4 linked regions of the Struthio camelus genome follow. The protein of the gene in region 4 interacts with the protein of the main gene of each other region in a pairwise test. Links are inferred from orthologs where the notes say so. Each region holds a gene or a part of one and is shown on either strand. Other genes may lie near its edges. The genes, in order: PPL, CDC73, POLDIP2 and ALAS1.

The links.
Region 1: the proteins of ALAS1 (region 4) and PPL interact in binary tests that used the Homo sapiens proteins (3 or more experiments, as listed by UniProt). The two-hybrid records come from large-scale screens. The link is inferred for Struthio camelus from reciprocal best matches to the Homo sapiens genes ALAS1 and PPL.
Region 2: the proteins of ALAS1 (region 4) and CDC73 interact in a two-hybrid assay, tested with the Homo sapiens proteins (3 studies listed by BioGRID and IntAct). The two-hybrid records come from large-scale screens. The link is inferred for Struthio camelus from reciprocal best matches to the Homo sapiens genes ALAS1 and CDC73.
Region 3: the proteins of ALAS1 (region 4) and POLDIP2 interact in binary tests that used the Homo sapiens proteins (3 or more experiments, as listed by UniProt). The two-hybrid records come from large-scale screens. The link is inferred for Struthio camelus from reciprocal best matches to the Homo sapiens genes ALAS1 and POLDIP2.

The regions. Positions count from the first base shown.
Region 1 is NC_090956.1:17,375,228-17,382,831, forward strand, and holds the start of PPL (periplakin), read left to right. Parts: upstream 1-4,599; 5' UTR 4,600-4,679; coding exon 4,680-4,741; intron 4,742-7,604. UniProt on the Homo sapiens protein: Component of the cornified envelope of keratinocytes. May link the cornified envelope to desmosomes and intermediate filaments. May act as a localization signal in PKB/AKT-mediated signaling.
Region 2 is NC_090949.1:10,422,305-10,429,480, reverse strand, and holds the start of CDC73 (parafibromin), read right to left. Parts: upstream 3,008-7,176; 5' UTR 2,909-3,007; coding exon 2,778-2,908; intron 1-2,777. Other genes in the region: GLRX2 (glutaredoxin 2), read left to right, coding at 5,560-5,615, 6,166-6,235.
Region 3 is NC_090957.1:16,405,116-16,413,039, reverse strand, and holds the start of POLDIP2 (polymerase delta-interacting protein 2), read left to right. Parts: upstream 1-4,923; coding exon 4,924-5,087; intron 5,088-6,415; coding exon 6,416-6,497; intron 6,498-7,191; coding exon 7,192-7,289; intron 7,290-7,924. Other genes in the region: homeobox protein SEBOX, read left to right, coding at 508-777, 906-1,151; TMEM199 (transmembrane protein 199), read right to left, coding at 2,930-3,025, 3,140-3,252, 3,639-3,681, 4,269-4,358, 4,437-4,510, 4,580-4,751. UniProt on the Homo sapiens protein: Involved in DNA damage tolerance by regulating translesion synthesis (TLS) of templates carrying DNA damage lesions such as 8oxoG and abasic sites.
Region 4 is NC_090955.1:22,844,033-22,850,977, reverse strand, and holds the start of ALAS1 (5-aminolevulinate synthase, non-specific, mitochondrial), read right to left. Parts: upstream 3,013-6,945; 5' UTR 2,832-3,012; coding exon 2,642-2,831; intron 2,363-2,641; coding exon 2,150-2,362; intron 1,186-2,149; coding exon 1,030-1,185; intron 952-1,029; coding exon 729-951; intron 238-728; coding exon 53-237; intron 1-52.

The sequences.
Region 1 (7,604 bases), on a different chromosome or scaffold from region 4:
CGAGCGCTGGCGCGCTGCTGCCTGCCTGCAAGGACTGCGCTCTGCAAAAGGCGCTGGCTGGCTGCTTGGCTGCGCCCACGGGAGAGGGGCCGCAGAGGCGCCCGCGGGACCCCCGAGCCCCGGCGGGACGCGGCGCTCGCCGCCCCGGGCCATCGCTGGCAGGGCGTTTCTGCTTCCTGAAGCCCAAGAAACATTAGGGGATTTTTAAATTCTTCTGTGTTTTTAATTGCATCAAAACCCCAGTGAGCACAGAGGCCCGAAACCTTTCCGGAGCTTTTGCACAGCTTCTCCGTTTCGCCGTATCCCAGATTTGACATCAGCTCTCATTTCTCTCCTCGCCAGTATTGCCTCTTCCGAATTGGCAGACACCCGGGAGCTGGCGGCAACCGGACACGGGGCCCTGTGCCGGCCTCGCCGCGTCCCGGCCGCGGCGCCCATGGAGAAGTGCCTCTTTTGGAGGGACTCGGGGCAAGGTGCCGGAAGCAGCCATGATTCCTGCCCGAGTACAAGGGACAGCAAAGCTCGGGACGCCCCTCAAAATCATTTTAAGCCTGATTTTAGGCTCTGGTTTGGCTAGTGCAGGAGGGCAGCAGCACGGCAGCGCTCGTCACAGCTCCGAAATCGGGTGGGATTAAAGCTCTTGCCCAAAGAGCAGCCGGCGAGCTGGGCTCACACGGTGCCTTAGCCCAAAGGCAGGATAGAGGCAAAATGCCCGGGCGGTTTGCACCGGACAGGCTTCCACCCCGACGGGGTTTCTCGCTGCCTGCCGGGCTTCCCCGAGCCGTTTCGGCTCGGCGGCTCTCAAGGGCACTCGCGCGCGCAAATGAACCGCGCCGGAGATGAGGGGAGATTAGGGGGATTAGCGCCGCAGAGGTCACGCCGGAGGGGAATAAAAGAGGAAAAGATGCACACAAAAAAAAAAGAAGAAGAAGCGATAGACAGGGACATTTCCTCGGTACGTCAGCGCTCTGTTCACCTTCCGGGCTGGCTCAGGAGCTCTGCGGAGCGGGACGAGGAGCTGCCTTTTCCCGGCAGGCCGGCCGGTCCGGGGCGACGCGCTGCCACGACGTACCGGGGGGTATCAAAGTGCCAAAACCTGAGAGTGTTTTCTAGAGCAAATAAAGCTAGGCAAAATATCATCTGGTTAAATGGAAGGACGCGGAGCATGACTTCTGCCTGCTCCTCCCCCTCGGCTTGGGCCACAAGCCAACGCACGCTGCCCTGGGCAGGCAAGACACTGCTCCTGGGGGACGGTATTGCCCCGGCCACAGTGCAAGAGGGCACCCGGCTCTGCCGGCGGGGAAACAGGGCGCCGCCGGCAGCCAGGCTCTCCTGGGGCTCTTGCCTGCAGAGACCCCACACCACTCATCACAGCGACTGCCAGCAGGGCTCCACAGAGGCCCTGGGCGGCCAGGCCTCGGGGCCGTGCATGGGCAGGGTGCCCTGCTGGCGCCGCCAGCCAGAGCCCCCGAGCCGCCGCGCCGCTCAGCACGGCCCCGCCGCCTCCTCGCCCAGCGGAAAAAACCGGCCCTCCGCCGGGGCGCGCTTAGCGTGCCAGCCAGAACGGCGTTCGCCGTTTGACCTAGCAACGGAGACGCAGGCTCGGGCATCTGGGAGAGCGCTAAATATATCTCTGCTTCTCAGAGACTTTAAGACGCAGGGTTGGAAGAGGCTATGAAAACGCAGCGCGTTAGTCGTCCGGAGGGTAGTAATACATTCGCCCTTCTCCGCGCGCTAGCGCTGCGGCCGGCGGCAGGGGTGCAAGCCGGCGAGGAGCGAGCGTTTCGGAGGTTCGCTGCGCGGGCCCAGCCGGACGCCCTGCTCTGCTCGGCCCGGCGTCCTCGCTCCAGGCTGGTGCCAGCCCGCTGCCCGCCGGCTCCCGCCGGCTCCTCTGCCTCCGGGATCAGTTTTCCCCTGCGCGGCTCGGGCGGTCGGGGCCGATCCGGCCCTGCTCGTCCCACGCCTGCCGGTGCGGCTCTCCCCGAGGTCGGGGAGCGACGGGGACACGCATCCCCCTCCGCTGCTGCCGCCGCAGCCTGCTGCCTAATGAAGAGGGTCTCTCGCTAGTGGGGGCTAGTAGGCCCCACGCTGGCAGGCAGCGCGGAGCAGGATGGATGCCGCGGAGCGGACCTGAGTCAGCCACGAGCACGTGGGAACGGCATCGGCGCCCGGCAGAGGCGAGCAAAGCCGGGCCGGCGCTCGGGAGGCGGCAGGGGCAGGCGGGAGCCAGGGGCGGAGGGCTCCTCTCCCCCAGCAGCCCGGCGGCCGGCTCTCTTTCGGGCAGGTCTCGCTCCCTTGCAGGGGGGTGACTTCTCCGCTGGAGCCCGCAGGGACCCTCCAAAGCGCCAGGCTGCGGCGATGCAGCCGCACAAGGCGCCTTTTGGGGGCCGCAGGCTGCACGCAGCCCCCTCCCTCCTGGCTCCCGGGTCCTGCCTCGCCGCCGCCGCCACCGGCTGGGGCTCACAGCCAAGCTGATTTCCAGCGATTAATCAATAGGAGAGCCAAAGGGCAACGCCACGCCAGCGCTCTCCAGAGAAAGCACAGGGCTCTCTTAAAAGCTTTGGAGCCTCAAACAAATCAACTGCCATCACCTTCGAAGCGCAGAACACGTCACTCGGTAACCAAGCATCCTTTGCCCCGCTAGAGTCGGTCATTACAGCACCGTCCCCGCCGCCGTCCTCCAGCGAGGACCGCGCCAGGCCAGGGGGCGGCTCCGCTCTGGCTGGGAAAGGGCTGGCGGAGCCGGAGAGAGCGGCCGGAGGTGCCACCGACCGTCCCGCGAGCCCCTGCTCTGGCTGCCGAGGGCCCCGGTCCGCCGAGCTGCCGCAGCCACGGCCCTGCGAGGGGCTCGGTGCCGCCGCCAGGCAGCGCGGCTCTGCGAAGCAGCCCTCGCCGGCGAAGGCGGCGTTGCTCGAATCAGAGCATTTTGCAGAAATTGCCTCAGATGTGGGAGAACTGCGAAAACTCAGGAGGTTCTCGGATGCTGCCTCTAAAAAGCAGCCAGGATTACATGGATTGCGCACCTCGCTTCTTCGCCCAAGGTTACAGCCCAAGGAGCGGAGGTGGAAGAAGTCCACGCGCGCGCGCGCACACACACACACACACACTTGCACATACTTGCCGCGTGCTCGAAGCGCTAGGACCTGCTGCCCCCCAGCATCGTGCGGACGCAGCTGGATCCGTGCAGGAACGGTTCTCCGCGCAGCGACAGCGAGCGCAGGGCTCGGGGCTCTGCACGCCGCGTGGAGCAAATGCTGCCGAAAGAGGTGGCAATCCGACCCAAGCCGGGGATCAGGAGCAATAGGTCACAGCCTGCACTGACTTGCCCCGAGAATGAAAATCAGCAGAGGATTTGGGGCTGGTGAGGTAGCGACAATCATGTATTCAGTTGTTTAATCCCAGATGGGCACAAAATCCCTGGATAAAAAGGCCAGAGCTGCTCCTAATTGCTCAGTGCTGTGCACACGGGGATGGGTGAGCAAAACCTCTTAGGCTGCGGCAGGCGGGAGGGAGCCAGCTCTCTCCCTTCCCCACTGCCCGTCTGTGCCCTGAGGACCGGCCCCGAAGCCGGGAAGGGCTCCGGGTTGGGGGAGCAACCTCCTGGCAGTTTTGCGATAGGATTTGGAAGAGTCGCTTCCCAGCGGACTGTTTTCTGCGGCTGGAAGGCCAAAGCCAGGCTGCCTTGGGCCCCTGTGCGAGAGCCGGCGGGAGCCGCTGAGCGGATGCAGCCCGAGCCCCTGCTGCAGCGCAGCCGGGGGTGGCACAGCCCTGGCGTGGCGCCCGCCGCACAGGGTGCTGGCGGCTGCTGGAGCTGGGCTGCCGGCCGGGGCAAAGGGACACACGCCAGCCCTGACCGGGGCACCGGACAGCCTGGGGCCCTCTCCGAGCTCGTCGGCCAAGCTGCCGCCCCAAGTCCGCTCTGGTCCCTCCCGAGACCAGGACATAGGCAGAGGCGCTGGGGCAAAACCGCGCAGTGCGGAGAGGCCGGCAGAGGAGCAGGCGAGCCCTGCAGCCCCGCTGCCTGGCAGCCAGCTCTCCTTGCCGCCGCAGCCCTCGGCCCCCTCGGCACAGGAACCAGGAGCAGGGCCCGTCTGCCCCGAGCAGGCACCCGGCACTGCGCGGGAGCACCCCGGAGGGGAGAGCACCCCGAACGCACCCCTGGCCCACAGCAGGACTGCCTGGGCAGGGCTGATTCCCAAGGATTTGGTGACTCTCGGAGCACTTCTCTTTGGGGAATCTGCCCTGCCTTTCCAGCGGTGATTTTTTTTTTACAGCTAGTCCAACACTGCCCTTTCCTGAATCTTTAAGCCTGTGCTCTTCCGGGGAGCCGGGACAACTTCGACACGTCTCTACCCCGATCGGAAGAGCCGAGGAAAAAAAAAAAGGGAAATATCTGGCTCTGACAAAACTGCCCGCCAAGTCGGCGAGCCCCGAAGCCGGGCCGCCCCGCAGGAGGAAGGGGCTGGAGGCGGCGCGGCGGTGCCGGGGGGGCCGCGCCCGCGCCGCTGGCACCTGCCGCGGCCGCGCAGGCACCACCCCGGGGCCGGGCCAGCGGCAGCCGCAGCCCCGTCCCCGCCTCCCCCGGCCCGGCCCGGCCCGGCCCGGCCCGGCCCGGCCCCGCCGGCTCCCGGCGCAGAGAGGCTCCCGGCGGCAGCGGGGGGAAGGAGCCGGCCGCCGCGATGCACTCGCTCTTCAGGAAGCGCAACAAAGGGAAGTACAGCCCCTCGGTGCAGAAGAAGAGGTGAGTGAGCGCCCGCCGCCCCGTCGGGGGCCGCCCGGAGCGCGGCGCAGCGCTCGGCCCCGCCGCGCACCGCTCCGCACCGCTCCGCACCGCCGCCGCGCACCGCGCTCGGCGGGGTCCCCGAGAGCGGCAGGGCTGCCGAGCCGCTGCCGTGCCCTCCTCGGCGGAGGCCAGAGTCGGTCTTCGAGCCTTCGCAGCTTCAGCGCTCGTTGCCTTGAGCTTTGGTTTCGTTAGAACCGAATAGTCAGTGTTTCCTCTTCTCTCGACGCCCTTTCTGTTGGGGTGGAAATGGATTTTAAGTTGTGCTGGTGCAAGAACACGCGCGGGGTTACACATACCCCTTGCAAGAATGCTGTTAAAATGGAAAAGATGTAAAAGTTCCCAATAGAAAAGGCACGGCCTCTCTCCAGGCTGAATGATTCATTGTAGGAGAGAAGGAAACTGGAGGGCGGCCAGTCCCCAACCCCTGGGTGCATGTCAGGGACAGAGGGGTCATTTTTGCAACAGAAGTTGAATGTTCTGATCAATTCGGGAGGAAGTCTAGCATTTCTGGAAAGGCCTGGAGAGGCTCTGGAGTGTATACACTCCGGGAGCCACTAGTGAGTAATGCGAGGAAGGGAAGGAGCCCTCCTGCCTCCGTCTCTCCAGGTGTGGATGTGAGCCGGTGGCTTTGTACTGCTGCGCAAACGGCTCTCCGGCCGTTCGGCATTTCCTCTTTCCCTGCTGCGCTTCTGGCAGCGCTGCCCGTCTGCCGCTGGGATGGGGGTGACGGGGAGACACCTGCCCCAGCCTGCGGGCTGGGCGCTGCAGCGCTGCGCTGCGCTCCCCAAAAATCGTCCTTTGGGAAGGGAAACTCAAGAACGGGCGCGGGGGCTGAGGCTGCGTTCAGGGACCCAGGAAGGGGGCCCCGGGCGGCCCAGAGGGTGCTGACCCCTTCCGAGGCGGGGAGCTCAGACAGCCGAGGTGCGCAGGTCTGCCTTCAGCAGCTCCCGGAGCTGCCTCTCACCCCACCTGGGAATTAATCCGCTCAGTTCTGGGCTTTTTTGGCTCGACTATCCTGTAGTCGCAGTGCTGGCGGCGAGACGTCAGGGAGCTGTCCTGACTCAGCGGAGGGCAGTGGGGGAGCTGGGGAAAGTGCCGCGCTGCTTCCTCCCTGCAGGCAAAACTAGGGCTGCCTGCAGGTCCCATGCTGTCGCTTTTGGCATGGGGGTCCCCTGAAAGGGGGAGACCCTGAGCGTGGGGGGACTCAGGTCGGTCTTGGCACCTGCTGAGCTCCCTCTCTCAGTACTGAGGACCAAAGAGCTCCGGCTCCGGAAGCGGGGATGGGATCCCCAGGCAGCCTCTGCAGCCCGACCGGCTCAGCAGGGCCGTCGAAACAGCCGCTTGCACCCCCTCCCCAAGCCCCGCGGCACGCTCTGGCGCCGGCTCCCACCCCAGCAAGGGCTGGTGGAGGGAGAGGAGTTTGTGCCATCTGAGGCACAAGCACGCGCCTCCCCGAAGGCCCCGTCACCAGCGTCGAGGGCTGAAGGAGCGATTGCAGCCTCAAACGAAGATGTGAAAACCAGGTTCTGTTTCTAATCTCCACTGGTGTCGGAGTAGGGCTTGAACACAAGAAATGCCACACCTGGCTTGACATCTCAGGACTCTGAGCAGCACCCGGAGCCCGGGAGGCAGCAGGAGACGGGCCTTCGTGCACGGGCACCTGGGGCTCGGGAAGATGGCCTTCCCTCCAGCGCCCTGCCAGCAAGCCCAGCACGCTCGGGGCACCGCCTCAGAGGGACGTCAACGCACCTCTGACGGCCGCAGACCTGTAGGCCAGGATGAAATCTTATTCTTTGTGGCTGGATTGTGCAGGCTCAGGAAGCGACGCGCGATGTGGCCTCGGGCCACCCTCCCTCCCCGCAGCACGGAGAGCCGTGTCTGTGCCTCCAAGTGTGTCCACGCACACCTAGGGCAGGGCTGCGCTTATTACGCCCAATTTGTTAATTCCTGTGCTGGAGTTTACAAACATCTGCGAATGCAGGGAACGCTCCCGCTCTGTGGAGACGTCCCTGCAGTCGAGAGGGGGAAGCCAGAGCCAGACCGGTTAAACGACTTGCTGGAGAAGCCGGGGGCAGATTGCGAGTTGAGGAGCTCCTGCCGCCCCGTCCCGCGCTCAAGGCGCTGCTGGAGTCGGAGCCAGCTCCCGCCCAGTTATGCTGCTACAAAGACAGAGCAACCCTGCTAAAATCAACAGCCCCGTGCTGTAAACAGGAACAGAGGCTTGGACACAGCGGCCAGCCCAGCCTCAGCCGGCTCTTCGGAGAGGCTTTTTCAGCTGGGGAAAGGTAGGTTGTAGGGTTGCGTGTTAGCTCAGGGCTGAGTGCCAGGGTGCCCCTGGTGACTGAGCGTTCAAAGCATAGTAGTGACAGAGCACATAACTGAGCACCGGTTTGGCAAGCGATCAATCACGCTGGAACATTTCCTGCAGGTAATAAGGAGCCAGGCCTGTGATCTCAGCTGATTCAGTTAGGGGTTGCCTAGGAAGTACCTTCCTAGGGCAGTTAGCGCTCTGACACGGACGACTGTACGACTCGATCTCGGTGGCTCCTTCAGTCGGCAGCCGTGGGACAAATTCCTGTTGCAGCGCGGGCATCTTGCCGTCTGTGCTCGGGCAGCTGCCATGATGATTAGCGCCAGAGATCAGAGCAGGGCTGTCAGGATCTGAAGATGAATCTCTGCAGCTCAAGCCAGGCTCTGTAATCTGCCCAGGAACAACGTTCTCCGTCCTTCTGGCTCCGAATGCAGACAGCCACCAGTCACCAACCCAAAACTAGCCCTTAAGGCTCCAAACCAAAGCACCTTGAAGTTTATGGGCTTCAAG
Region 2 (7,176 bases), on a different chromosome or scaffold from region 4:
AAAGGCCTACCTCTCATCCATGAAGGGAAACAGTAATCTTCAAAAATACAAGACTAGACATGCAGACTATCATACAAATTACAACAGCCATGACCAGCTGCTTACTATTTAAAAACTTCTACGCATACAAACCCCTCTACTGTGTAAACAAAGCAAGTAAGTTTCTTTGCTGGACCGATTTTCTTTCTTTGGTTTTAAAACTAAACAAACAATCCTTCTTCAGCGGCTACAGATCAACCACTAGATCAAAACAAAGAAAACATCTAATCTTGGTCCGTCTAGCCTTCTCCTTGTACCAGCAAAGGAGTTCATAAAATTATTTTTTGTGAACTAAATCTAGGAACTAACCTGGATTAAAATAAATTTTTGGGTTCTTTTTCTAGGTTAATTTTAACCTGGCTCAGTTCCTCAGACCGATTCACTGTGTGGCTGACACTTGTGCTAGCACAGTGAGAAGACCGTGCAGGGCAATACAGCTCTTCTGGCAGCCGTGCAGGCTTCTGCCAGCCTCACTGCTCAAGGAGCAACAGTGTTAAATATCTAGGGGAACTACTTCTAATTCCAGAAGGGACAGAATGCCTCCACTGCTATTCAGACTTGGATTACTCTCTCCAGGCTGTTAGTAGAGATGCAAATACAGCAACCATGTTGTAGACACCTAAGACTGAAATCATCCTTGCTTCACGAAAGCTGAAGCTGTTAACAAGTGCTCACTGCAAGCATAGTTCAGATCCTGTCGAGTGACCAGCATAGAAAAGGTTTTGAATCTTAAAAGCTTTTTAAAGGTGTTCCTCCTATGTTCCTGCACAAGCATGGCAATTACATAAATTAATGGCACCTAAACTGCGGTCCCAAAGCTACTGAGCGCGGCTTACAGAACTGGTCTCACTTTTGCAATGTCTTCAATTTAAAGATTAGACAGATATAGTTGCATGGTGGTTCACAAGAAGTGCTGCAAATTGGTAACAATCCTACAAAATTGGTAACGATCCTACATGAAAGCTCAGAAGCTACTGGCCTAGGCCAAGATTTGCTAACTTAATCCAAAACAAATCTATAATGGATCTATCACTACAGATGATGGCATAGACAACTATTATAATGCTACTGCTTCCATTCTCCTCAGTGCATTCTCCTCTCACCCACAAACCCTCCTCAAGGCAGTTTTACATTCATGGTAAACATTAAGATTTTTTTTTCCCCTCCAGGTTTTGTCTTCTGTCCTCTGTTAAAGATTCCGGGCCTAATTGGGCCCAGGCCTAATTCAAACTCTCATAGGTGGCAGCAAAATTCAGTTGGCATATCGGTTTCTCTGTTTTTTACAGGGTACCAACAAAACTTGCCTGTCTAGCTAGCTGTTACTTGTTACTGCTTAGCAGAAAAACTTCAAGCAAGAAAATATGATAGCTGTCAATATACTTGCTTAACAAAATAGATTTAAGACTTTTCAAGAATTTTAAAACCTATCTACTTATGCAAAGACTTTTCTTCCTCTTCAGTCTAGATACCAGCACCCCTCACTCAGCCAGGATGCGCAAATATATCTCAAATGAGTTTCTGAAAACTTGAAATAGGTAATAAAACTGCACATTTATAGTTTTAAACTGCATGCAATATAAAATCAGTAAAATAAATGCAAAAATTTTTCTAGAAAATTAACACAAACGGGTAGGTTTCTTCCCCACCCAATAAAATTCAGGATATTAAATCAATACTAAGAGTCTTAGCATAATTATGAAAGCTTAGAAAAAAAAAAAAATCCCAGGCCGCAGACTGAACTGCGAGTGTTTTGAAAAATCTACATCTTCTTCTGTTTTTCTAAGCTTCACAGGATAATGTAATCTCTTTAACAGATGTAATATTTAATGAAAGGCATTACTTTTCCTTTCGGTTTAGAACAGACTCACTGAAATCCTTCTAGTTAGAAAGCTTTGGTGGCTTCTAAATACAGGGGAAAGGAGAATGAAGAAGAGAACTCTCTTGCATTGTAAACAATACATAGGAAACTCTAAAACTCAACAAGTAAAAAAACTAATCTTAAATACTTTAAAAAAATAAGACTTTTATCTAATTCTACCACTGAAACAAGAGAAGCATTTGTTTATTATAGTAAGAACAGCTAGGAAGCAGACTGCATTAGGACAAGCCCAGGAAAAGGCCTCTGCTAGAAGCAGGCTGAGCGAGGAGCACAAAGCGCCCGCACGGTTTGACAGAGCTCCCAGGTGGCCGCAGAGGGAGGAGTGCTTTAGCCCTCGCTGGCTTTACGCGACAAGCCTCGTGAAAAGAGAAACCAGCCAGTGAAGCTAGTGGGGTAAAGACATAACCTTCAGCAACCCAACAAAAAGAAAACAAACTTCCAGAAGCAGCTTTCTCTCATCTCCTCAGGAGAGCCTGCAAGTCCCGGCACCGCTGGGACCTTCCAGCCCCGCCGGGCCGCAGGGACAGCGGGAGAGCCAGGGACAGGCCCCCACCGTGCCCGGGGGGCGTCGGTTCGCAGGTCGCCAAGCAGGGCCCCGGGCACCTTGCCCAAGGCAGCGGCGAGACCGCCCGGCCAGAGCGGGCTCCCGGGCGGCCCCACGCACCCCTCCGCGAAGGGAGCGAGCCCGGAGACCCCCGGCGGGGCGGGCAGGGCCGCGGGGCCCTGCCGGGAGGCCGCAGCGAGGCCGCCACCCCCCCGCGCCGCTCCCGGCTCCTCCAACTTCGGGCAACTTCTCCTCCCCGCCGGCCCGGCCCGGCCCGGCCCCTCCCGGCGACGGCCGGGCCGCCCCGGCGCTCACCCCCAGATGACATAGTTGGTCTTGACGTTCTTGGGCCAGGAGAACTCGCCGAAGATCACCTCGTCGCCCTTCACCACAATCTCCTTCTTCTGCGTGTTGTACTGCCGCAGCACGCTCAGCACGTCCGCCATCTTCGCCCCGCGCCGCCGCCGCCGCCGGCCGCCGCCGCTGCTCCTGCTGCTGCTCCGCCGCGGCCCGGCCCCACTGCCAGCCGCGCGAGGACCCCGCCGCCAGCCGCCAGGGCCCGGGCTGGCCGCGGCGAACGCCTGAGCGCCGCCGCCACCGCCTCCAGGGGGCGCCCTGGGCCAGCCGGCCCGCCCTTACGGGAGCGGGGCGGGGCGGGGCGGCCCTCAGGGGGCTGAGCGCCCGTGGAGGGGTTGTTTCCAGCGGTCAGCCGTGTCGGCCGTGTGCCGTTCAGGCCGGTGCGGGCGGCAGCAGTGACGGTCGGACTGAAAACAGAAGTTGGGGAGCAGCCGGTTCGGTGCGAGGTGCTTCAGCCAGGTGAGCTGCCGTGGCGCAGCAGCCGCTGTGCGGCCCCCCTTCCCGCCACCCGGCTGCTCGTCGTAGTGACGTTAGGTCCCTGCGGCTCCGACAGCAGAGCGACCGGTTCAGGAAAGGCGAGAAGGGGCTTTCTGCCGTCTCCTCGGGAGAGCCTGCAAAATAGATACCTGGCAAACCCTCCGGAATACCAGCACTGGAAATACAGGCCTGAAGAAAGATCTCTCGCATGCTTATTCTAATCTTTGATGCTCAGAATTTTCTGAACGCTTTTCAATATTAGCAGAAAATGTTATCCGATATTACATATGAAAAAAGCTAACTTGCATCATTCTTCTTCTTGTAAGTAGCATGCATTAGGATTGTCAAAATAGACTAAAAGTCGACGTTTTATATAATTTCCTGTGCTGAGATGTTAGTGATACCACCGTTCTTGTCACAGCAGCACAGTACAAGTGAATATAGTGCAAGTATTTTATAACAATTCACGTATTGTATCAAAATAATTTAACACACAAATATATTTTCTAGTCACAAAATGAACTTTATGCTACACTAGTCAAAAAGTGAGCATTAGAGTTAATTGATACAATTACCATTACTTCTAATGTTCAATTGTAACTGGTATAGCATAGTATTCGTTTATTTAGGAGACAAAAAAGCCTGAAGAATAAACAATATAGTTTCTCACATGGGATTCAGAATGACTACCAGAGCTACTAGTTATGAAAAAATATAATGGAATTTGAAATGTTTTCAAATGGTCCAAAATCCTTTTCTATGTCTTATCCAAAAACGCCCATAGCATCACCTAAAACTGTGTTAGCTCAGAAAAAATGCACCTGATGCACTTTCTAGACATGTAATACTTTATTTATCAAGACACAAAGTTGTTATGGTACAGCAACGCTGAAAACATCAATTTCAGCCATGCTGTCATCTGTTGTTCAGTACACTGCAGCGACGCTGTACATAATCAATTGCCAAGAGTGTCTGAAATTTATTTTCATGTTTCAGGAAAATGTTGTCATTCTGTTTCATTTCTTTCATTTAAGGATACCTTCAATGCAAACTTAAAGGGGAATTAGCAAAATAAATTCCCACAGTTTGCTTTGGAGATCATAATGGGACTGTTGACCACTGTATCACTGAAACAGGAACTGATAAGAGATGTCAAATAAACAACTATTTTCACATGGCATTAGATACTTGAGGACTTACTGGTTTCATAAGAGGAGATAAGGCTAGAAAACCTCTATTCAAAGCCTTGGAACAATTAAAAGTTTCCAGCTTTTCTAGACCTACTTCTCTTCTCAATCTCTTCTGAATAAATTGTCCTGTTTTTCAGTTTCTTATTTGTGAGCGCCAATAAAGGCATGTATGTTGACAGAGGCATTTTTACAGTGCATACAAAAAGTATATAATGATATATTCATGTGTATTAAATAGCTGCAGAGTAGAAAAAGTATTACAAGAAAAAAGGGAACAGAAATGCTAACAGTGAAGATTTGAAGGGAGTTTTAGTTGATATAGCAAAGGCACCCCCAAATTCCTAGCACTGTTAGCCACAAAGAAAAGCAGACAAGGCTCTCACTTCATTCCGTGTGGTAAAAGTTACTTCTGGGCCTTCAGGAAAATCACTCAACCTCTCCGCAGCTTCACTAAACACTATCCCTCTCACGGGAACGTTTCAAAGCTTAATTAACCTGGTGTGAAAGCCTACACCACAATTCCAGAGCATTTCTCCCCTCAAGAACAGTGTGCAACTATCATGCCCTAAACAGAACTGAGGGAGCCGCCTTCCTCGCCTTCACCCTGCCTTGGCTACGACAAAGCGCCTCAGGCCCCGGCGCCTCTTTTCCCTCCGAGAAGTCTCTCGGAGCCGCGTCCCTCAGGACCGGCACTTCTCCCCCTTCCCTTCCCTGCCGCCACATCCCTCTCCCCGCTGCTCTCGAAAGTACGCCTGTCCCCCCGCGCCGGCCCTCCTCTCCCCCCCACGGCCGCCTCAGCAGCTTCCCGGCCTGAGGCGCCGCAGCCTGCGCCGCGTCCCCCTGGCAACGGCCGCGCCGCCCGCTAACGCCTGCGCCTGCGCCTGCGCCTGCGCCTGCGCAGCGAGCGCACGCCTCCCCTCCTCCCCCCTCCACCGGCCGGGCGGCGGGCGCTCCCGGGCACCGGCAGCGCCGCGGACAGCCCCGCGCCCCGGCGGCAGGAGGGGCGGGGGCCTAAGGCGCGCCGGACCGCGGTGAGGACTGTGGGGAAGCCCCGCCCCTTCCTCCCGGGCGCCATGGCCCTGCAGAGGGCGCTGCGCGGGGCGGCGGCGGTGCTGTGGCGGTGGCGCGGGTCGGTGTGGTGGGGCTGGCGGCTCCCCGCCCGCGCGGGGGCCTTCTCGGGGCCTGGGGCTTCTTCTCGAGGGGAGGGCCGGGTCGGGTCGGGTCGGGCCGGGCCGGCTGGGACCGGGGAGGGGACATCGCGGTGGCCTCGGGGCGTACGGCCCTAGGGGCAGCCCCTGTAGGAGGGTGCCCAGAGCCTTATGTTGGTGCTTGTATTTACACGTTGTCATTAGGGAGAAAAATTACATGTGTATATGTGTATGTATATGTATATACATATATATAGAAAATCAGCCTCTTGTAAAGACAGCCGTTTGGGTTAAACTCTGCAAAATCGGGCTCTTTATTTGGACCGTACTGCAGGCGTGTGAGAGCAAAGGAGACTGCCGGCATTGCAGCTGAAAGAATTTATGTGCAAGGGAGAGATCCTGTTAGGTATTTTAAACGGAACCAACCCTTGTATGGGTTGAGTGAAACCAATCCTTAAAAGAGTTTGTGAAGTGTAGTAATATGTCGTTTATTTGAAAGCTTAAGTATCTGACTTTTTTCTTTCTTTTTAGTCTTAGAATGGGAAATAGGCTGCCTGCTTCTGTAAGGTTATCTAATGATGCTGCTGTGAATCAAATACAGGTAACGTTATTTACGAGACTTCTCTTCCTTTTCAATGTTTGCAAAAGTGATAGTTACTTTCAGGTTTTTTCTTATATTATACAAAGATATGCTGTAAATAGTTCTGCATACTGAATTGGATCTGTATGTTTATTAGTAAATACTAGCTGCATTTTTTTTTATCCCCAGCCCTGGAATCTGATCTTCCTAGGTTGGATCTTTTTTATGTTTTTCCAGTGTTCTAGTTAAATTCAGTACTGTCATCAGTATCAGGGATTCAACCTTGTAAAATTACTGATTTCAAGTATGAACTGATACTGAGAGCGCAAAATGGATAAATCTTGGATAAACATGCAGTAAATAGGAGTCTCTCTTTCCTCCTACTCATACCTTTTTTTGCCAGTCTGCTTATCACTAGCACGTTCCGTTTGCCTTACAGATAGGAAAAGCTGTACTAATACTTCAAGGAGATACACCCTCTACAGTCTGTAAGAAGTCTGTGATCAGAGAGCAAGAGTAGGTTTAGGGTAGGGCACAGTCCCCACAATACTTCTGCTCACTCTGAAGTCAGTTGATTGTTAGTCAGAGATTGTTAATGCTAACTCTCCTCTGTTTCTTTGCTCCTGTAAGAGGAAAAACTACAGGATTCCTGAAACTTGGATACTGCTAAGTTTTAACTGACTCCAGGTATTCTGCTTGCAGTTGAGACAGTTCTGATCATTGAGCTAGCCTTGAAGAACAGATTGTGCTTTTTACTGAGGCCTTAAGGAGCAGGAGGAGTTGGTCACTTTATTTTCTATGTAGTTCTGCAAATGTTTGATGTTGTGCCTCACTGCACTTGCATTCCATTGGAGCAGCTACTCTTGGGCCTCGGGCCAAGTGCAGCTCCACTGCTGAGGTCGAGAGTCTGACTTTCTTGGCAGACAGGTGGGAAGTGATTTTTATTTTGATGTGAACGTATA
Region 3 (7,924 bases), on a different chromosome or scaffold from region 4:
GGCTTGCAGGGCCCCTGCCCCGCCGGTGCCAGGCTTTGCCCTGACCCCCCTCCCGGGCTCCTGGAGCCCCACCGGCCCCAGTGCTGCAGGGCCACCTCGGGGCTCCGATGGGGCACTGTGGTGCTGAGACCCGGGGACAGCGATGGGTGGGGACGGACCCCGGAGCTTTGGGGGGACCGGTGGGAGGGAAGCAGCTCCCCGATGGGGAGCCATTGGGGTGACCAGTACTGGGAGCCGGTGGGGTTACTGGTTCCAGGAGCCGTCGGGGAGGGGGGGGGGGACTGGCCCCGGGAGGCATCGGGCGGTGCTGCACGGGGAGCGCTGACCCCGGGGATCGGCCCCGGGAGCCGCCGGGGGGCTGGGGGGGGGTCGGATCCCGCCGCCGCGGGTGCGGGGGGCCCCGGCCAGCGCCGCCTGCTCGGGGCGGTCCCAGCCCGTCGGGGGGAGGCGCCGGGGAGGGGGGGAATAAAAGCCGGGGCGGCGGCGGGGCTGGGGGAGTAGGGCAGGATGAGCGCGGCCCCGGGTGCCTGCCGCGTCCCCCGGCCGCTGCTCCGCTTCCCCGACGGGGCGGGCGGGCCGGGCGGCGGCAGCGGGCGGGCGGCGGGGAGCGGCGGCCCCGGGCCCGGCCCGGGGGGGCCCCGGAAGCGGCGGCGGACCACGTTCAGCCGGGGGCAGCTGTCGGAGCTGGAGCGGGCCTTCGCCGCCGTGCCCTACCCGGACATCGCCACCCGGGAGCGCCTGGCCGAGCTCACCCAGCTGCCCGAGGCCAAGATCCAGGTGAGCGGGGCCGGGGGACCCCTCCCTCCCTCCCTCCGTCCGTCCCGGGCCGCCGGGACCCGCCTCCGTCCCGGGCCGCCCCGTCGGGCCGGTGCCGGGGTCTCACGGCCGCCCCCCGCCCGGCCCAGGTCTGGTTCCAGAACCGCCGCGCCCGCCGGATCCGCAGCGCCAAACCGGAGCCGCCGCCGCCGCCGCTGCCGCCGCCCGGGGAGAGGGGTCCGGCCGCGGCGCCCCCCGACGGCACCGCGCCAGCCCCGGCCCCCGTGCTGCCGGAGCCGGGAGCCCAGGGCCCCGCCTGGGGCCTCCCCACCTCGCTGGGCTCCATCTCCGACCTCATCTACAGCGCGGCCATCACCAACCTGGGCGAGCCGTAGCCCGAGCAGGGCCCCCCCCGGGCCCCCGGCCCTGCCCGGCTTAGCGCCGCGATTGTCATTAGGACGTGGAATTACTGCCGGCTCCTTCAGGTCCCTGCGATGCCATCCAATATCCTAAATGCCGGTGAGGCTGTGGCGGGGCCGGCTCCCCATCAGCCCCCTAATACCAACTAATCTTTCAGAAAAATACCTTAATCTGAGGCAGTATCCGCGGATGATTGTGGCGCAGCCGCCCCTAATCCGCAGGCACGTTCGCAGGTGCTGGGCCGATCTCCCCGTATCGGATATTAAAGCATGTTTGCAGAGGGGTTTAGCTGCCATCAGAACATTAATCACTGTGTCCAGCTCTGGCACGTTGCCTGCTCAGCAGGTGTCCTAGCCCACAGTGCCCAGGGTGGGCAGTGCCACTGGCCCCTCTCCCCACTGCAGGGCCACTAGTGCACTGAGCTGGTTCAACTCTCTGCTCCAAGGCACCCAGGAAGCTCTGCACTGAGCCACTCTTCCCGCTAGGTTTAAGTGATTGCTGGTGGCAGGGACAGCCTTGGAACGGAGCTGCACCTTGCAGTCAGGTCTGGGGCCTTGCTTTGACCCATCTGGGACCCCTGAATGCTCTGGCAAAGCCCTTGGGGTCCCTCGGCCTCTGAGTTGAGGGACAAACCCCAGCTTCCGCTTGCTGGCAGGGAGAGACCAGCTGGGGCCTATGTGGGCGAGGAGGGTTTTCCCGAGCCAGCTCAGCACAGAGCAGGTACTCGGCCCCCCATGGGACACCGGTGCTGGATGGCAACAGAAAAGGGCGAGCACTTCTCCATGGCAGCCCAAGTTTCTGCCCCAGTCCCGTGGCTGAGGGGAAGCAGCTTGCCAGCGCAGGGAAGGCAAGCTGCCGGCTCTGCTGGCGGGCGCCCTGCCGCACTCCACGGTGCTGCTCTGGCAGGCTGCTATGACGGGGGCTCCTCCTCCGGGACCCAACTTTCTTTTTGGCACTGACAGTCACAGGACCATGGATCAAGAGAGGCGGCAGCTCCCAGCGCGACTTCTCCCTGAACAGGAACACAGTGTAAGCTACACAAAGGGTACGTCTGTCTGCTGAGCCGCTGGAGACGAGGCTGAAACCCCAATGCGCCTGCAGTGCTGCTGCATTAGACACTGTTGTTCTCCTGAACAGGTCTGCGCGGAGGGGAAGTGTACTTGCCACCAAATATGAGATGGGTCATGTAACTGCCATGCTGGTCACAAGTGAGTAACGCTCTCCCTAAAGCGGGCAAGGGGCCAGGTAGGAGCAGTAAGAACAGGCCACCTGAGGGCATTGATTTCTGCTGGAGATGGAACAGGATAAAGAGGGAGAAAGATTCACAGCTCTCTGTGGTGTCTTTTAGATGCCAGGCCAGTGGGCTGCATAGCAACAGAACTCTTCTGTCAGGCAGGAAGAAGATTGCAAACATAAACACAACATATTTATTCCAAAAAAAAAAAAGACAGCAACTTCAGAAAAGAACTGTAACAGCAGTCGCTGACACTCCTCTCTATACTGGCATAGTATGAGTCCACTGCTGTTGGTTCTTCTGTTCTGCTGCCACAAGATCTTTAATCCATGATTCATTTCAGGAAGGTGAGGAGCAGGCAAGCAAAGGATGAGGCCTGAGGAATGCAGCAGTTTTCCTGGTAACAGGAGCAGGTACAAACATTTGGTAGCCCAAAGACAAACCTGCCCAAAATAAATGGCTCCTGGGGAGGGCAAAAGCCTCCAGCATGAGGGTCGCAGTTCGCAGGGAAACGCACAGTCATAGTTTCCCGAGGTCCCCTTCGAGGGTCCGCACCATCACATACAACTCGGCCAAGCCAACCACTGAGGCCACAATTACTGCTGACAGGATGCGCTGGGGACACAAAGAGAGAGAGTTAAGTGACCCCACGCATGTGCTCAGGCTGCTGCCTGGTGCCAGGGAGTGCGTCTGCTGCTCCGGTCTGGCCTCTACGACACGCTCACTCACCGCAGCCGTCTCGGCAAAGATGTACTGGCTGCCCAGGTACGTGCAGGCAAACGCGGCTGCCACGGTGACAATGAAGTTGAATATGGTGATGACCACAGCTTTAACAGATCGAACTGGAGAGAAGGGGGAAAGATGGTGATTTTTAGGAAAGGCTAGAAGCTGCTTGTTAAGTAGCCTCAGAGAGAAGAGTTTGGGACAAGCTATAATCCTGCTAACTGAATCTGCCAGTGGCTGCCTCAGTTTGGCTACAAGAATACTCCTGAATTCACATGCTTTATGCCTCCCGAAATACCAGTAAGAACTACACGTGGGCTGCTCCTTTACTCAAGGAATGCTTTCGTGCATTAAAGCCATCCAGTGAGATACTGCAGCTTGGAGCAGGGACGGCTGTTGTATGTCAACAACATACACACAACTAGTGATGTGACAGTTCCCAAGACTGATTTTTCTGCCTGTAGGTACACACTGCCTGGTGTCAGCAGGAGAGGCAGTCACTCACCTTGCCTCCCAAAGTCGGCCAATGTCCCGTACCGGTTCAGCTCCTAAAATAAAGGATTAAAACAACTTGTGTTGTATTATATTTTAATAACAGAAGTGATTCCGATATAATATCCTGTCTGAACAACTCATTCAGAAACATAGCCGGCTTCTGTGGGGCTCTAGCAGTGGTGAGACATGCTGTAGCTGAGAAGCGGTTTCATAAAGCCTGGGTTTCCTCTGGATTTGTGCTTGTGGTCAGTCTGTGACACTGAAAAGGGATGATTTCTAATCCCTGCTCACATCCCCCCTCTATTTTATTCATTCTACTGGGAAAATTTCCTTTACTGTCTGTCACATTGCCACCTGTTATGCTTTTAAGGAATGATTCCTGAACGGATACCAGAGGATGCCCACATACACACGGCATAACTCCAGGAGCCTCAGATAATTAGAACTTAAAGTAGAGATCAAAAGGTCATCCAGCCTCTCCTGTCCTTCAAGTCAGCTTCAGCTGGTTTGGGGATAACACTGATTTGGCAGCCTGGGTGGGTTCATGTGGTTTTTTTAATAGATGGGTTTTTGCAGCCTGCCTTTTGGGGGTGGCAGAGCAGCTGGGGAGCGCATCCCGAGTGCCAGCCGCAGCACTCACCTGGCCGGTGACATTGCGGGTCATCCGCCGGTACTCCTCGTTGGCCAGCCGGGCCTTGATGCGCTCCAGCCGGGCCACCAGCTCGGGGTTCTGGGGGAGGAGAGAGCTGCCGTGAGGGTCGGAGCTGGGGCTGGGGCTGCCGCCGGGCCCGCTCCGGCCCTCACCTACCCGCGGCGGCACCGGCACCTCGGGCAGGGCGATCTCGCTGCCTTCCAGGAGCTCGTGGAGATACAGCGGGGACCCTGCGGGAGGCGGCGGCGGTTAACGGGGGCCGGGGCCGGCCGCGGCCTAGCCCGGCCCCCCGGCCCTACCTGCCTCCCGCAGCGCCCCGTGCAGCCGCCGCAGCAGGCTGAAGGGCACGAGGGCGCCGTCGGAGCCCAGCGCCGCCTCCAGCTCGGCCCGCAGGCCGGCGGGGAGCCCATCCAGCTCGCCGTCCGCCGCCGCCCGCCTCAGCCGCGGCCCGGCCCGCACCGACGACGCCATCTTGGCCGGCCGCCGTCGCCTAGGGGACACGGAGCACCACAGAGCGCGGCTCCGCCAGATGGCTAGAGCGGCGCAGCGCGCTCCGCGAGGGCCGCCGGGAAGCAGGCGGCGGGGGTGGGGGCGCGCGCGCGGTGCATTGTGGGCTGTCGGCGGGGTGGGCCCGGCCGGCGGGATGTCGGGCTGCGCGGCGCGGCGGTACGTGGCGGCGGCGCTGAGCCGGTGCCGGGCCCGCGGGCTGCCGCTCTGGGAGCCCCCCCCGGCCCGCGGGCCGCGGGCCCTCGGCGCGGGGGGCGCCGCGGCCGTCCAGCTCCTGCCGCGGCGGCACCTCTCGTCGCGGTGAGGCCTGTGGGGGCGGCGGGGGGGTGTGGCGCTGCTGGGCTGTTTGGGGCGGGGTGGGGGGCACTTAGGGGGCGACGGGGGAAAGGTGTGTGGGGCTGTCAGGGGTGTTTGGGGTGGGGTGGGGGGCACTTAGGGGGCGACAGGGGGAAAGGTGTGTGGGGCTGTCAGGGGTGTTTGGGTGGGGTGGGGGGCACTTAGGGGGCGACAGGGGAAGGGTGTGTGGGGCTGTCAGGGATGTTTGGGGTGGGGTGGGGGGCACTTAGGGGGCGACAGGGGAAGGGTGTGTGGGGCTGTCAGGGGTGTGTGGGGTGGGGTGGGGGGCACTTAGGGGGCGACGGTGGAAAGGTGTGTGGGGCTGTCAGGGGTGTTTGGGTGGGGTGGGGGGCACTTAGGGGGCGACAGGGGAAGGGTGTGTGGGGCTGTCAGGGATGTTTGGGGTGGGGTGGGGGGCACTTAGGGGGCGACAGGGGAAGGGTGTGTGGGGCTGTCAGGGGTGTGTGGGGTGGGGTGGGGGGCACTTAGGGGGCGACGGTGGAAAGGTGTGTGGGGCTGTCAGGGATGTTTGGGGTGGGGTGGGGGGCACTTAGGGGGCGACGGGGGAAGGGTGTGTGGGGCTGTCAGGGATGTTTGGGGTGGGGTGGGGGGCACTTAGGGGGCGACGGGGGAAGGGTATGTGGGGTGGGGGGCACTTAGGGGGCAATGGTGGAAGGGTGTGTGGGGGGCTGTCAGGTATGTGGGGTGGGGGGCACTTATGGAGCAACGGTGGAAGGGTGTGTGGGGGGCTGTCGGGTATGTGGGGTAGGGGGCACTTATGGGGCAACGGGGGAAGGGTGTGTGTGGGGCTGTCAGGGGTGTTTGGGGCAGGGTGGGGGGCACTTACGGGGCGATGAGGGAAGGGTGTGTTTGGGGCAGGGTTATTTGGGACAGGGTGGGGGGCAGGGGGCTGTCAAGGACAACTTGGGGTAGGCAGACTGGGGGGGCTGTTGAGGGACTGAGATAGGTATGTGGGAAAGGGGAGATTGGGGGGAAGGGGTAGCTGGGCAGGGGGTGTAGGGGGATGTTGAGGGCAACTGGGGTAGGGGGGATTGGCAAAGGGGTCATTGGGGGTGTGTGGAGGGCCCGGAAGCGGGTGGCTGGGCAGCCTCATGGGTGCAGGCTGGGGCTGTCATGGGGCTGAGGGAGGTACAGGGTGGGGGCTGTACCCAGCCAGCAGCGGGGACTCAGGGTGCTTTGTGCCACGCGCAGCTCTCCTGGCCCCAGGGGACAGGCTCAGCATCAGCTGGGCAGCTGCGTGCACACCCAGCAAACCCACTCTCTCCTCCTAGAAACCGTCCGGAGGGCAAAGTGCTGGAGACAGTGGGGGTGTTTGAAGCACCAAAGCAACACGGCAAATATGAGACAGGCCAGGTAAGCAGTCTTGGGGAGCAGAGCTGACCCTGCAGGCTTTTTCCACAGAGGTTGAATAGCTGCGTGATTTATCTGCGAGAAGGCTGCTGCATAGTAGCAGAAGTCCAGGAGTTTCACAGTTCAACGTTCCTTGTCTCTGCTGTGTCTGCAGTTTGTCAGTCATCTGACAGTAGGAAATTGATAAGAATCTGCAACATGACACAACTGTTCATACAATGGTATTTGCTCTGCTGATTTTATTTAAGCATAGTTTCCCTTTGGCAGCAAAGGAGTCAATTGCTGAATTTGGGAAATGAAGGTAAACTTGTAATTTCTATGCTCATGACTCGTATATCTGTTTCTCCCTTTCTGGGTGGTCTCTACTATCCTGGTCTCCTTTTCTGCACTTCTGATGTCCAATATGTTATAACTGGTTTAGTCAATCACTTTAATGGGATAGAGATGACGTGAATTTGTTCTTCCATCCCAAGCTGCTTATGTTCCGGCTTTGTCTCTGCTCAATGGCTATACAATGGTGATTCTCCCTTTATCCCTTTCGTACGTGTCCAGGCTCCATGTAAACATTGCTAGTTCTACCTCTATAAAATTCTTTTTAGATATTGTCAGAAAAGAGCTTTTGGTTCCATGTTTTCTATTGTATCTAAGTCGACGGAAGCTTGCTATGTATTAAAGTGCAATTATTTGTTCTTTTCAGCTGTTTCTTCACAGTGTGTTTGGCTATCGAGGAATAGTCCTGTTTCCCTGGCAAGCCAGGCTTTACGATCGAGATGTTGCTTCTCCTGTCACAGAAAAGTGAGGTTTTGTTCTTGTTTGTATGCAGCATACTACTGTATTTACGTTTCTTTGCGAGTTTCTTGGTTAGGGAAAACAAGTCTTTTTAAGAAAGACAATGGTACAAGTCTGTTTTACACGAACATCAGTTGGAAGAGAGGTACTCAAACGAGCGATTGCATGAATATTAATTTTCTTTTAATCAAGAGACAGGATGGAAGCATGAAGAAAGAGTGTGTGTGTCTAGAAAATGAAAACCAAGCCTCCCCACATTTTTTTTTTTTTCAGTAAAACAAAACTTTGTGCTGTCCTGAGGTAGGACTAGGCTCCTGTGTTAAAATTGCAAGCTGCTTCCTGTATAGATTGCCAGTGAGTTGCATTTGTCAGCTGCCTCCCCATTTTCAACCTGCTAGGCTAAGTTTATCCATCTGATGGATTGAGTCCCTGTTTGTTTACTTCCTTCACTTCTCTCATCCGTTCCTCTCTCTAGCCCTTGTTGGAGGTATGCCAGGCGAGTGTATGTTTGGACTTGGAAAAGACTGAGCAGTGAGCAGATAGAGAATGAGCGAGCAGTGAAAACAGCTATGCCAGATAGGATACTGGGCTGACCAGGGGAGATCTTCCAAGTCATCTGAAAACAGAGCTGTTGTGCCAGT
Region 4 (6,945 bases):
ACAGGGTGGCTGTGTCTTTGTGGTAAACATGGGATGCAGTTTGAGGTCTCACCTGGCAGCATTTTAGCTAGAGTGAAGAGGGTGGAGTCATTGGCTACAAAGCAAGATGAGAACAATAGAGCTGCATCTTTTCCATGAAGATCAGCTAGTTCTTTTTCCAAATCAACATGAAATTTACTTGTTCCTGAAATATTTCTTGTGCCTCCTGCTCCAGCACCATGTTGTTTCAGTGTATCCCTACAGAGTGCCCAAAGAGAGGCATTAGTGTTACTGAGCAACACAAAGATGAATATAGGATTATTGCTGAAAACATTCTACACAATCTCTATCGTTCTAAAAAGAGCTGGCTGTGAAAAGCAGCTGTTATTTTAAGGTCTTTGAGCAACTTGCACACCTCAGGGATTCAATAGGCTAATGAATAAGGTATCAAGTACAGCTGCAATATACAATCCAGTTTATCTGCTAATATTTGGGGGCTGCTGAGGAAGCTCAAGGAGCAGGGTCAGCGACTGACAGGTTATGTTGCAGCCCTGGAGGAAGGGGGGGAAAACCACCACCTATCAAGGCTTAAGAGAAGTATAAGCTTTAAGGCTTCATTATATGAAAGAGTAATGCCAAAGTAGTTATGAAGTACAGTAGAAGTATAAATTCCAGGGAGGACTTTCTATAAAAGCTTCTATAGACCACCGTAGCTTGTAACTGCATCTTAAGAGCACAGTACTACTCACACAACTGCTCCACACACACGAGGGTGACGGCTCATCCCCAGGTAATCATTGCTGCACCACACAGACACCTCCTTTTTGGTGATAAGAGAATCAGAATAGTCATCTGCCATGGGAAAGATTTGTGCCTTTCTGTTTACTGTTTTGAATATTCGATAAGTATGATCCTTCTTCTTTTCATCTATCTTCTTCTCAAAGAACTGATCATACTGGAAGGTGGCCACAGCTGAAATAAGACAGACTTAAGTACATAGGAGTTAATCACAAGCAGACAGGCTACAGGGGTTTTGCCAGCTAAGCTTACATTTTGGCAAGTTATCCTGAAGCAGATGAGAGACACTTTCTGGTCTTTGCTTGAGCACAATATCCTGAAACTTCTTGAGCAAGCCACTCTGCTCTGTTCCCTCAGTTTGAGGGCTCCTCACTGTGGAGTTAGCTGGTGTTTTGGCAAATTCTGTACCTACAGACATGGCAAAGAATTGCAGTGAGCTTAATCCTTTTGAAACAAAATGAAAAGGTAAGTTATGAGTTCAGCAAGGCAGATATTTTAAGTTACTCTAACCCTTTGTTCTTTAAGGGCCTGCAGTTGAATCCATGGGGCATCCTGTTGGCATCGGCTCTTATTGGCTTATAACTTTGCCCTGTATGAGACAACAGGGGAAAAACTAGTTTGCTAATCAATGACAAGACAATGCAATGTCCTTGCACCACACTTGGCTTATCTTGACTAGCAAACCTACTCTATAAGGGTGCAGCTCCCATCTGAAAGAGCTGGTACATAGCTAACTGAAGTCAGGAGTTCTGGTTAGCAGCTTCTGTTTAACTCCCAGCATTTTGTTCAGTTGGTAGAGTTTTCCCCCAAGCCACAGAGAAAACCAGAGAAGTAAAACAAGCTTCCTTTCTGAGAAAGGCAAAAGTTTTACTGATATGGCTGAAAAGCATCTTTCGACAAAACTTTGTCAGAAGCTTGCTGCTTTGAAGGACAGCCCTTCTGCACCAAGCCAGCCAACACCCTTCTGTCATGTCAAACAAATGAAAAAGGTTGCTTGCTTGCTTGCCAGCTTGGATTTGTGCTGCTATTTACATAGTACCCTGTCCTGACTTCCTTCTTCTCTGGATATACCACCTTGTCTATACCAGCACTTTGGTAAAGCTCACTTGAGTCCTAAACATCTACTTTGGGTACAAGTGCTACAGCTTGGTTCACAGCCCTAAAAGCAGGGTGCTATTCCCACATCAGAATCACCCTGGGCAATCATTGCAGAATACAGCTGATACACCATTAACACCCAGTGTCTGCTACAACAGCTTGTCATCTCCCATGGTCCTACTGACACAATTTAAGTGGTGTCAGTTAAGACCTGGCATGTGCTAGAGTGGAGTCAGGCACCAAAGGCAAACGCTTCAGAGCCCAAAATACCTACCTTTCCTCTCGGGCTGCATTTCCTGCACATCCTCCTGGAGTTCTAGGCTGGCTTTGCAGAAGACATTACTGTTCCCGTGATTCATCTGAGCTGCCAGGAAGGGGCACTTGGTAGCAGAGCTCGGGGGGCCGGCGGCAGCAGGCGGCGGGTGGCCGGCGGGCGGCCGGCATCCCTCGGCGCTCTGCTCAGCGGCGTCTTTGGCACTTTTGGCCTCTGAGGTGGGAGGAAGGGGAGGGGAGAGAGGCTTCAGTTTCATCGTTTCGGCGCGGTTACTGGAGCTTTTCTACCTAAGCCCTTAGCGCCGGACTTGGCAGGAGCCGACCGGGGCCGCTTAACCGAGCGTTTGCGTCTTATTTCGCGGAAGGAGGAAATTCCAGCGCCTGATTCAGCCGCTCGTCCGGCACCGCGGCGCAGGAAGGGGGAAACGCGTCCTTCCCCCCCCCCCCACCCCGGGGCGGGGAGCTCAGCGCCCCCCCCCCCCCCCGCACTCACCGCGGCGGGCGGCCGGGGTCTCCTCAGCGCGCTGCCGGCACCCGGCCGAGCTGCCGAGGGCGCGGGCCGGCGCCGCCTCCATCATGCGCGGGCAGTGCTGGGCGTAGAGCAGCAGCGAGGGCCCGGCCTTCTGCAGGAAGGCCTGCGGCACCCGGGCCAGGAACGGGCAGCGCCGCACCACCGCCTCCATCGTGTCGCTGTCGCCGCCTCACCGCCCTGTCGTGACAGGCACCCGCCTCGCCGCTGCGAGTGCCGCCGCTCCCTATATAGGCCGGGCGAGCAGGGCGCATGCGCGTTGCGGCTGCCACCGCCGCCCCCATGGGCGCAGGCGCGGGAGGGGCGGGGCGCGGCCGGCCGCCCGCCCCCGGCCTGGTGTGGCGCGGGGCGGGGCGGGGCCGCGCGCCTTTTCCAGAAGGGTCGGAGGGCGGCGGGGCTGGGGCTGGCGCCGTGCCCGAGGGCGGTGCCGGTGCCCGGCGCCCGGCGAAGGGAACAGCGTTCTCGTGAGACGGGCGGCGGGGAGTAGCGCTGAACCCTGCGGCCCCTGGCCCGCGACAGGCGTTAGCGCCTCTCTGCTCGTCCGCTTGGGAGGGAGGGTGGTTTTTATTTTCGTGGTGTTCCGTGGGGTTGTTTTCGTGCTAGCCGGGGCTCTCCTCGTAGCCAGCCCGGCGGCACCAAGCGTCGGCAGCGCTCTGCGAGCTGCCGCTACCCCCCGAGCGCCGAAAGGGCCAGGGGAGGGAAGGTGACGGGTTTTTTTCTTCCTCTTCTTGTAAAACACTGATTTCGGGCTCGCGCAGAGTACCGCCTCGCTCATCCTCACCCCACCCCTTCCCCCAGGCAAAAGCCACCTTTTGGCTGGTTTATAAGATAGCTGTACTTTTTTTATTGAGTAACAAGTGTGGGGTTTAGGAGGAGCGCTCTTTCGAAAGTTCCCTCTCGACTGACACCTCGCGTCTCACCGAGCGGTCGAGGTGCTGGGAGGCACTCGTACGGTCGCGGCTGGGGAAGAGCAGAGCCTGTCTAGACCTGTGGCTGCTGAGCTCCTGAGTTTGGCTGCGCAAGGCGCTAGGAAGGTATCGGTCAATGTTTACACGTTACGAATTAATCCGTAATTGCCTGATCCCGCCTCTGTCACCGCGTTTGAAGATGCTGGTGGCAGCACGTGAAGTTGGCGGCCTGGATAAGCAGACCCCGAGGAGGTCGAGCTTTTCAAACCCCCCGTTAAACAGCAGAGTCGCTGTCAGCTTCCGCGTGCCGTTCAGCTCCCGCTTAGGGAACCGGACAGCGTTCTGGCCTCGCTTGTTCCTCGTGGAGCCCTAATAACAGTCAAATGGGGCTTTACACGGTAGAGGCATGGGATATTTGGGTTTTAATAGGGCTAGAGAGTGTTTTAAGCACAGTTTGCTTGCTTATTAGAAATTTAGCACGGCGTTGACTTGTGAGTCTTAATATTCAAAGCTTAAACAATTCGACTCGTTATTTCAGCAACATAGTGCAGAAGTTACCATTAACGTACACAGCTTTTTTTTTTTAAGTGGATATCATTAAACTGCATGTGTGCCAGTTTTATTTTGTTCTGTAAATAAATGATTAAGCTGAGGGTACGGTATTCGATCCAAGCCCGTACAGCGGTTGCGATAACAACAGTCTTGGGCGCTTGGCAATACCAGGACGGTGCTTCAAGTTCTTAGCTGAGTTTGTTCACGAAGAGAGCTCGTTCTTCATAGCTGGCTTTCAGTTAGTGCTACACGCGGCAAGTACTTATGTTTTGCAAAACATAATAGTGAATAAGCTATTAAAAAAAAGTTTAAAGATGCCTGATGTGTGTTTGGATGACTGCTCTCCCTTCCCACATCGAACATCTGACTCTCTACCCTCAAGCTGTTGCCCACATCAGTTATTTTTAAAAATGAGGAAACAGACTACTAAATTCTGCTGTGCAGATATCTGGTGAATATCATCAGAGCAGAGTTAGGTTCCTGAACCTAAGGGATCATTGCGGTGTTCTTTGGATTAATTTCAGTTTTAACACCAGAAACTGAGTCCTGTATGCCTGATTTATAGTGTGTTGATGGCATCTTTCCTTCTCCCCTTCTTCTTGTATTCTGTGACCATGCTACTTAATTCAAGAGGGGCGGAAGGAATACTTCATGAACAACAGCCCGCCCTAGAGAAAGGGGTTTGACAAGTACGTTGGCCGAGTAGCGCAACAGACTGTAAAGCTTGTCTGTATGGACACCTGCCGCAGCAGGTTCAAGCCCGCAGAAATCTGATAATGCTTCGTTATCCTAATCTTAGTAGCAGCATCTTATTATATTGCAAGGTTGGGGGATGAAGTGCGTTAGCCTGCTCTGTTGCTGGAATACAGAAACTTATGCTTTTAGAATTAGAAGTGCCCATGTCAAGTCTGGTCAGTAAATGAGCCTGAAGAGCATCAGCTTGTTACCCAAACATGACTCAAGGTTGGAAGCTGAGACAAAGTGACCTTGGCTAAGATGGTGAGATCTCCAAACGGTGCCGAACCCTGAGCTCTCCTGTCAAACTTGCTTAGGCTCTGTGGTGTTAATCAGACCCCATCATAACACTGTTTTCGAGCTTGTTTCTGGTGAATTTATTTAACCTTGTACATGACAGAAGTTGTGCAGAGCTAAATAGCAATGAAATGACATAAACTTGACCCTTATCTTGGGGAGCTGCCAAAGGAGAATGTCACCGTCAGTGCACAGAGATGGTTGTGAGCTCTAGGTCCAATAAAGTGCTGAAAAAATAGTGGTAAAATTAGGGGGAAAGGGTGTCTTCTCTACTGCTCTGCCAGTTCACTCACTTTGGGAGTTTTAGGTAGTGAAGATGAAGTAAATGCTAATAAAGCTATCGTTAATTAAAGTTTCTTAGGGCTTTAGTGGATCAATTAAATGGTATTTAAAGATTTTAATTGTGGGGCTGTATTACCCTCATCCTCCAAGGCTCAGGAGAAACTAGCTGGAGTGCCATGCAAAAGCTGGTTGCCGCACTCCAGGAAGAGGATTTCAGACAGAGACGCATGGGATGGTACCGTAGTAGCCAAGCGGGGAACAGGAAGCTCATCCCAAGAGGGAAAACTAGGCATACGCAGCCTGTCAGGAGGCCACTGGTGGGCATGGGAGAAACGGGTTCGCTGCCTGTGAATACATAAAAGGTGGAGTAGCATGTACCAAAGAAGGAAAAACGGTTTAGGCTGCGGGGATGACCTCGATGTGAGACCAAACGCTTACTCAGCTGGCCGTGAAGAAGTGTAGGTTGGAATTTGGGTGGTTCCTGGCTGTAACTGTTTTGGAACAGCCTTCTGGTAAGAGCCACTGAGACTATGAATACCAGCTGGCTTTTTGCAAGGGAAGCTCTATCTGCCTGAAAGGCTCATGGGATGTAGTGGTAGGGGCTCAGTTACCCAGAGCGTCTCTGCTGATTTTTTTTTTTTTTTGTTTTCTAAAGCCCATTCTGTTCTGATGATTTGTCCATTTGTTTGCTAAATGAGTTGCAAGAGGAGAAAAAAGGTTAAATTCCAGCAATCTGGGAGGTGGATGAGAAGCAGTAGAAAGTGGTTCCCAGATAGAAGTCTAAAGGGAAGGAAAAAAAAACAAAAAAAACCCTGCCACAAGGTCAAGTTGATTTCTGCAGATGTCCATGAAAAGTTGCTGCTAAAGATGGTCTCTTTCTATGTGATTGGTTTACTATACAGGCTGAGCTGGGAATTGCCATGAAAATAATTCCCTTCTGTCCCTCTCCTCTCTAACAAGTTTTCCTAATATTCCTAGAAACAGAACTTGACCAGCAATTTGTAACTTTAATCCAGTCTCACATCTGTCAGCAATTAGTTCCTCTGTTTGAATTTGAATTGGATTTTTTGATCTGTAGAGAAGCCTTTAGATTCTTCAGGAGAAAAGCAAGAGTAAAGCCCCTCTGCACCCAGGTTATCCAAAGGAAAACGTGTAACTGTACCATTAGCAAAGCTTAATCCCTCTTGCCCGCTTCCCAAATCAGAGGCTGCACGCATTTCTCATTTTTCCCACCCATTCAGTGTCACAAAAGGGCAAGACAGAAAAACAGTCCTCCTCGCCGCCCCCCCCCCATCTCTTCCTATATTGAGATCAGAGTTTTCCAAAGGAGTGGATGTGATCCTGACATCTGGATTTAATCCAGACTCAAATTCCAGGCTTGGGTCTAAGAATTTCCACTTCCAGTGCTGAGACTAGCAGTTCTTAGAGAGCTGTTTACCTTTTAAGGCAAAATTCAAGGGTTGTAAGAGTAGTAGCATAGTGAAAATTCCTCCC